Linked DNA regions of Bombyx mori. The protein of the gene in region 2 binds, or shares a complex with, the protein of the main gene of each other region. Links are inferred from orthologs where the notes say so. Each region holds a gene or a part of one and is shown on either strand. Other genes may lie near its edges.

Region 1 (2,741 bases), on a different chromosome or scaffold from region 2:
TAAATTAACCCTCAGACACAGCCCACTGAGTTTCTCGCCGGATCTTCTCAGTGGGTCGCGTTTCCGATCCGGTGGTAGATTCTGCGAAGCACGGCTCTTGCTAGGGTTCGTGCTAGCAACGTCGTCAGGTTCGAGCCCCGTGAGCTCACCTACTACCGTTAAGGTTACGCTGATAAAGCTTTTCAAGGCTCTCAGCTTAGGTAGGTAAAAAAAAAAAACATTTTTTATCATGAGTGATCATCACCTCTCACGTAATTTATTTGAAAGGTTGTGGGCCACCCCATTTTTTTATCTCACCAAGAGCCGATGGTGCGTTGTTAAGTCATTACTAGAACACAGACATCACAATTTGAAAGCCACTATCCTTATGATATTGAATTCCTAATTGTATTTTATTATGACTATCCTTTTAAACCGGACGTACGACTGCTTTGTAGTAGAAAATGACAAGACACCATAAGTAATTATGCAAATTTGTAATTTGTGAGTTTTTAAAGACATTTTAGTATAAATCATTTATTTGTAAATGTTTTGATACAATGGCCATTTTAAATTTTAATATGGTGTAGTTTTCTATTTAGTTCTTCAAACTTCAACAGCTTGCGGATGAAAAAGTCACCATAGCGATGAGCCACTTTCGTATCTGCGATATGAATCATATCGTTGTCGATGTAGAAATCCAACTGAAAAAGAAAAGTAGTATTGAATTATTATTTTATTTCTTTGCTTAAATGTGTGGACGAGCTCACGGCCCACCTGGTGTTAAGTAGTTAACTGAAGCCCATAGACATCTATGCAGTAAATGCCGCCACCCGCCTTGAGATATTATTTCTAAGGTCTCAGTATATTACAACTTTTGCACCACCCTTCAAACAAACTCATTACAGCTTCAGGGCAGATATAGGCAAGGTGGTGGTACCAAGACGTCCTACCACCAGTAATTACGCAAACTATAATTTTGCAGGTTTGATTTTTATTACACTTCCTTCACCGTGGAAGTTAATCGTGAACGTTTGTTAAATATGTATTTCATTAGAAAAATTGCTACATGCCTGCGGGATTCGTATATCGTTGCATCGCTAGATACGAACGCACTGGACGTCTTATCCTTTAGGTCACGACGACTTGAATTCCAGCTTAAGATAAATAATAATTATAGGCAGTATAACAGGTTTGTTTACCTCAGAACCACTTTGGAATTTTCCATCAAGACCACTGGGGCCTTTAGTCCAAACTACGTTCTTCATTTTGTGCTTGAAGCAGAGCAAGTGAATGGCGAGAGCCGCATGTTCACGTGCCGCGTCACGCTCACTGCCGCGAGCAGCAGACATGAATGCAGCTAGTTTCGCCATCGGGAGGGTGGTGTATAGTTTCAAATAGGAACGTATGGTCGGAAGCATTTTTTGTTGACGGACCTACAATATAATAAGTGAAGGTTACTCGTTAGAGATATGAGAAAAAGAGACTCTAAGTTGGCTAAAGTTAAAGTATCAATATGAACAGTCCGCATTGTCGTCGTCGCTGTCGTCGCCGAACATACTGTGGAAAAGAGGAACCCGGTCGGCGGTGTATGGCGTTCTGACCCGGCAGGCTGGTTCTGTCCCAGCGGATCCCGGAACACCAGTGGCATCGCCCGGGCGGCCTAGTAGCGCCGCCGTACCGCGGAGACCGGCGTCGTTGGTTGTCGACTAACGCCTCGACGACCCGTTGGTCGGGCGTCCTTGGGGTGGCGCCGCGTGTCTAGTTGTATTGTTGACCGTGGGAACCCCCTACTCTGACCCCGGATGGAGATCGGACGTCGGGTGTAACAGTGAGTGCAGGGCAGTCGTTTAGTGCGGTAGGGCCCTAAAATTCCTTGGGCCCGCGGTCTGCTCCCAACACCTGCAGACCGTCAAGTCCCACATACCTCGCGCGCCCCCTAGGCGTGGGGACCTCGTAGGTTAGGCCCCAGGACCGAAAAAAAAAAATCAACATGAGATGAAACCATAGTTGGGTATCGTTCAACCAGGTTTAATTAAGCTTGACTCTCATCCTATGAATAGAGATTGTTGGAGTCAAATGAAGAAGAGGTATAATAAACCAAACTAGTCTTGTTTAAATTGATAGATAGATAATGTCACAATACTATCACTAATATTACCTCGTCCATAAAGACTTGGGTCTGGTGTTTGACAGCATCACGGCCATAGTTGGCACCGGGTTCAATGGGCGGGGGACACGCCGATAAGAATTTGGGGCACGCGAAAGTAAAGCAGCTCTCGAATTCACCTAGGTCTCCATATTGCATTTTAAACATCTTCTCATGGTAGTTCTTTTCTCGAAGCACCTGGATATAGAATTTGTATTTGTATGAATATAATATAATTAGTACATACACTATATTTTAAGTCATCTAGATAAAGCTGGTATGATAGGTTACTAACCTGCTGGATGGATTCATCAACGCACTGCGGATGCAAGACCAAACAAATGGCCAGTAAATGGTACATTTGCTCGGTCTGTTTGTTGATCTGATCATTCTGGTAGGAACGGGAGGAGAACAATTGTTTAGTGCGTTGCATGTATAGCAGCGCAGAAGAGAGGGTGCGGATGGCGTCGGCGTACCGACGCATCATCATGTACGCGAATCCGACATAGTATGACGTGGAGATCTGACACGCCGGCACGTGAGAGTATTGAGACTTCTTATGAAGTTCAATGTTTTCAAGTACCTGAAATCATTATATTGCATGTTTCTGGGA
Region 2 (4,438 bases):
AACAGCAAGGTTATTCCAAGCAGTGCCTGACACCGAACGAGAAGTTCCTCCACAGCATACTACTCCATATTTCCTTTGAGCTGAGATTATGTGATCAAAGTATTCCATAAGTGTAAAGTTTTGTATTAATAAATGTTGCATCTATTACAATTTTTTTGTTTATTGACCCACTTTTATGTTCTTTATTATGAGATCTGTTCTTTTTGACATATTACTATAATTTTTTTAAATCTTCATTATTTATACCTTCGTTTTTTATATTTATATATTTAATTTTACCTTTTATTATTAAATATGTACCATCATGAAATAGTCTGTTGAAAATGAATAATGGGATTAACAGAATATATTACAAACTAGCTTTCTGCTGCATTACATATCACATGGGTGGAAGAGATCCATGCTCAGCAGTGGAATGAAAGGCATCCCAGTTTTTTAAAGGTTAAACTATTTCCATACAATGTTTCAATATATATGCAGTGAAAATCCTTTCAATAGATTCAGAAATATGTGACAAATGTGGGTGAACAGACAAATGGTGACCAATTCTAAAAATGTCCAGTTTATGTTCTATTACTGTTCTTTAATTATTATTTTTCTACTTATATAAAATTTCCTAAATGTATAGACGTACTGAATTAATTGTTTTATTATATATGTAGATTGATAAAGTGGCATGCATTTAAATAAATGATATACAAAAAACTTTAATGAGGCTTTATTTTCTTATAATTTTATGAAACACTAGAGTATTGCAAATTAACTACTCCCTATTGTAATCGAAAGTGTAGTCAAAGTAAGATTGATCAAAGTTATGAACACGAACATAACCATCTTCACCTCCGGAAGCATAGGACTTTCCATCTGGATGGAAAGCCAAACTGTTGATAGGACCAAAGTGACCTTTCACTCGGCCAAACTCCTCTTCAAATACTAAGTGGAAGAAACGAGCATCGAATTTACCCTGTCTGGTTGATGTGGTTGTCACTTCCATAGCATCTTGACCACCACCAAGTACAACATGATCAAGGATTGGACTGAGAGCAGCAGAATTTACAGGTCTCTCTGTCTTGTATTCTTTAAGAAGTTCTAATGAGTTAGTGTCAAATAACTTAGCAGTATGATCCTTGGAAGCAGTTACAAACATTGTGCCGTCACGAGAAAGTTGCATATCGGTGATTTGGTGGGTATGCTCTTTAACAGAGTGGATTTTTTTACCAGTCTGAAAAATAATTAGATATCATTAGCACTATTTAAAAATAAACAGAATAATTTCTATGAAAGATAATTTTTTTGCATGGAGAAAGTAGATAATATTTGAATTTACTTAGTCTATTGAATAATTATTTGCATACCCTCAGATCCCATTGTATAAGGTCACCAGCTTCATGACCAGTGATAATTGTCTCATCTAAAGAACCCCAAATCATTGAAGTAACCTTTGAATCTGTGATTTCCCATTTTAAAATAGGAGCTTGACCTGACACTGTTTCATCAATTGTTCTTGTATCAATAACGAACACCTGTAAATTGACATAATACTTTATATCTTAATTGTTATCACAGGATATACAAAATTATAATACTAGTTAGTAAAAACTTACTGTATATGTATATAGGAAACACATTAAGGGTTAAAATAGAGATTCCCAAGAGTTGATATTGTCTACCTAAGCACACTATAATTTAACCGACTCCAAAGTTTCAGTTCAGTTTGAAAAAGGGTATTTCCTGCTCAAAATATTTTGTGATTTAAGTTAAAGGGTATTAAATTTACAAGTGAGCCTTTCGGTAATAATAAATTTTAAATGTCTGGAGCATAATAAAAAAAAACAAAGTGAAATGTCAGCATAAATGACACTTGTACTGTCAACAAATCTTAGTTTAAAGAAATACAAGGTATGTAGGAATTACTCTTGAATACTAAGTTGTAATCATTAATTGACGGATATGTTAAAGAACAAAAAATAAGATTTTTTTTAAGGCATGGCCCTCAATAAACCACTTTGAAGTGAAGCAGACAAGTTCACATTGTGGTTTAATAGAGAATGAAAGTTCTGAAACGGAAACAACTATAATAATATTTATGCTTAGCTTTGCATACAATTTTACTTTTCTTCTAATGTTAAAGTTGCCAGTCATAATATCCATTAGTCTTTCTCATCCTCAATTCATGTTTCTCTATTTAAATAAAATGTATATACTATGTAATTACCTCACAAGGGTGTCCCATAGCTTTGTCAGTGGTATAAGCAGCTTGATATGCACTATAGCTGAAGTTGCATGTTCTTACAGAAGAGTTGGATTTGAGTGTTGCAATATTCTTGCCTGTCTCCAGATCCCATAACCTGTGCATCGTTTAGTGTTATCAACAGCCTACTCATCTTTGAGCAAACAACATGAAAAAAGAATGCAATTTTCAACACTTTATTTGTTTATAATATACTGAGGATAATACCTGCAGGAACTGTCGCCACCACCTGTGATGAGATTAATTGACTGCCAGTCGACGTCAAGGCACCATATTACACCACCGTGGCCGTTGAAAGTGCCAAGACGTTCGCCGTTCAGTGACCACCAAACATTTGGTTTTGAATCTTTAGCGGCGGAGAAGAGCAAGTCACCCTCGCGGTTATATTTGATCTGTGTGATGGCACGCTGGTGCCCTTGCAGCATAAGAGGTTTCTGGAATTACATGAGTAAGTAATTTACCTAATTTATAGTCATAGCTATGTTTGTGATTGAATTTGTTTGATATTTCACACAATAACTTTGGAGGCATTAAAATTTTGTATAAGAGTGTTATTTACCATGTTTAGAAAGTATTTTATTTAATAGTTTATTATAAATCACAATAAAAACGATGTGGTGACATGTGGCAGGCGGCGGACCTTTTGACAGAAGATTTTTTTTTCTTAATTTTTATTTAGCCTTCGCTTGGCGCATAGTTGAGCTCTATAGCCTATGGTAAATTTTTATAGGATGTTATGACCTGGTAACTAAGACCTTTAGGTCATGTCTTATTTTAATTTATATTCTTATTTTTATGAAAAATGATAATATGGAGTGAAATGAAATGAAATTAAATTAAATGAGATGAGATGATATGGGATGAAATATAATCTCAGTAAAATGGTGTCATTTACTAAGATTTTTTCAGTGGACTTTTTGGAGGATCCCGTATTGCTACGTCTAGCGGCTTTGTTTCATTTTCCCACATTTGTGCACTTTCGCAGATATTAAACAGTTAATAAACCACCGTTATTACACACTGAAACCTGAAGAAACACTAAATAGAGAAAATAAAACCAATCACACAACTTCACTCCTCGCGTTCCCGCCAAAAAGTCCATACATTTAATTTAGTTACAATCATAGATTATACACTTAATATTTGAGAATTACAATAAAATTCTGGTCGTACGTGCACGTGTTGTACATCAAAAATTCTTCGCTCTGAATCTAGTTTTTATTGAAGCTAGCACCTCTTTTTTTTCTCTTTTCTTTTTTCCTACCTATGGTATATCCTTGCTATAGCCTTGAAAAGCTATTTCAGCTTCATCCTAACATATAGGTGAGCTCACGGGGATCAAACCGGAAGTGTTGCTAACACTGGCCCTAGCAAGAGCAGTGCTTCGCAGAATCTACCACCGGATCGGAAACGCAACCCACTGAGAAGCTCCGACGAGAAACTCAGTGGGCTGTGTCTATGGGCTAATTCACTCGTCGAGCCCATCGTCGCAAGCGACGGGTTCAACGAGGATGGTGACCGGTTCTAGCACCAAAATACAGTCCACGCTCTAAAAATAATGCACCCACAGTCCAAAGTTAGGTTTGAAATATGTCCACTTGCAAGATTTCTTGAAATGTTCGCTAGTACAATTCGGGTTGATCGATACTGTGATCTCCAAACATTCTCAAAGCTAACCCCGATGTTTCCAGGAAATAACTGATTTTTCGTTTGACGCTATAAAAGACGGATAAAAAATAAAACATTTTCAACAATATTTGACATACATTTTATTTTCTTAAATTAATAACCATTGATTTCCAAGAGTACAACTAAAAAACAAATTAAAGTACAAACACGTTATGCGTTGCTAACTAAACACAACTGTAGGTAACTTCTCTTGGCAAACCAGTACACTGTTTTTGACTAACATCCGGCGCACCACTCGAACGAGACAAACGAGAGACAAAACTCACAATCAATAGTCACTACGCACTTAACTTGGTCGTATAACAAACAGCCTTTATTAATCCATCGAGAATAGTACAGCAATCAGCAACTAATGTGATTTGCTACGTACAAACATAGAACCTTATGGTATTCATAATACTTAAAATTATTTCTACGTTCTGAAAGCAATAAGTCTTGAAATTGAGCGAGCTCAACCAAACATGTGAAATACAGCACACTCTCTACCACATTGAATTC

What was found. Proteins that work in one complex are often made in the same cells at the same time.
Region 1: eIF3i (region 2) and eukaryotic translation initiation factor 3 subunit L share a complex: the UniProt entries of both Drosophila melanogaster proteins name them as parts of the eukaryotic translation initiation factor 3 (eIF-3) complex. The link is inferred for Bombyx mori from reciprocal best matches to the Drosophila melanogaster genes eIF3i and eIF3l.

Annotation. Positions count from the first base shown.
Region 1 is NC_085117.1:14,766,114-14,768,854, forward strand, and holds the end of eukaryotic translation initiation factor 3 subunit L, read right to left. Parts: intron 2,712-2,741; coding exon 2,424-2,711; intron 2,327-2,423; coding exon 2,141-2,326; intron 1,416-2,140; coding exon 1,182-1,415; intron 684-1,181; coding exon 549-683; 3' UTR 501-548; downstream 1-500. UniProt on the Drosophila melanogaster protein: Component of the eukaryotic translation initiation factor 3 (eIF-3) complex, which is involved in protein synthesis of a specialized repertoire of mRNAs and, together with other initiation factors, stimulates binding of mRNA and methionyl-tRNAi to the 40S ribosome.
Region 2 is NC_085121.1:5,018,429-5,022,866, forward strand, and holds eIF3i (eukaryotic translation initiation factor 3 subunit I), read right to left. Parts: upstream 2,890-4,438; 5' UTR 2,814-2,889; coding exon 2,811-2,813; intron 2,686-2,810; coding exon 2,459-2,685; intron 2,349-2,458; coding exon 2,216-2,348; intron 1,524-2,215; coding exon 1,356-1,523; intron 1,223-1,355; coding exon 764-1,222; 3' UTR 563-763; downstream 1-562. Other genes in the region: serine/threonine protein phosphatase 6, read left to right, coding at 1-79. UniProt on the Drosophila melanogaster protein: Component of the eukaryotic translation initiation factor 3 (eIF-3) complex, which is involved in protein synthesis of a specialized repertoire of mRNAs and, together with other initiation factors, stimulates binding of mRNA and methionyl-tRNAi to the 40S ribosome.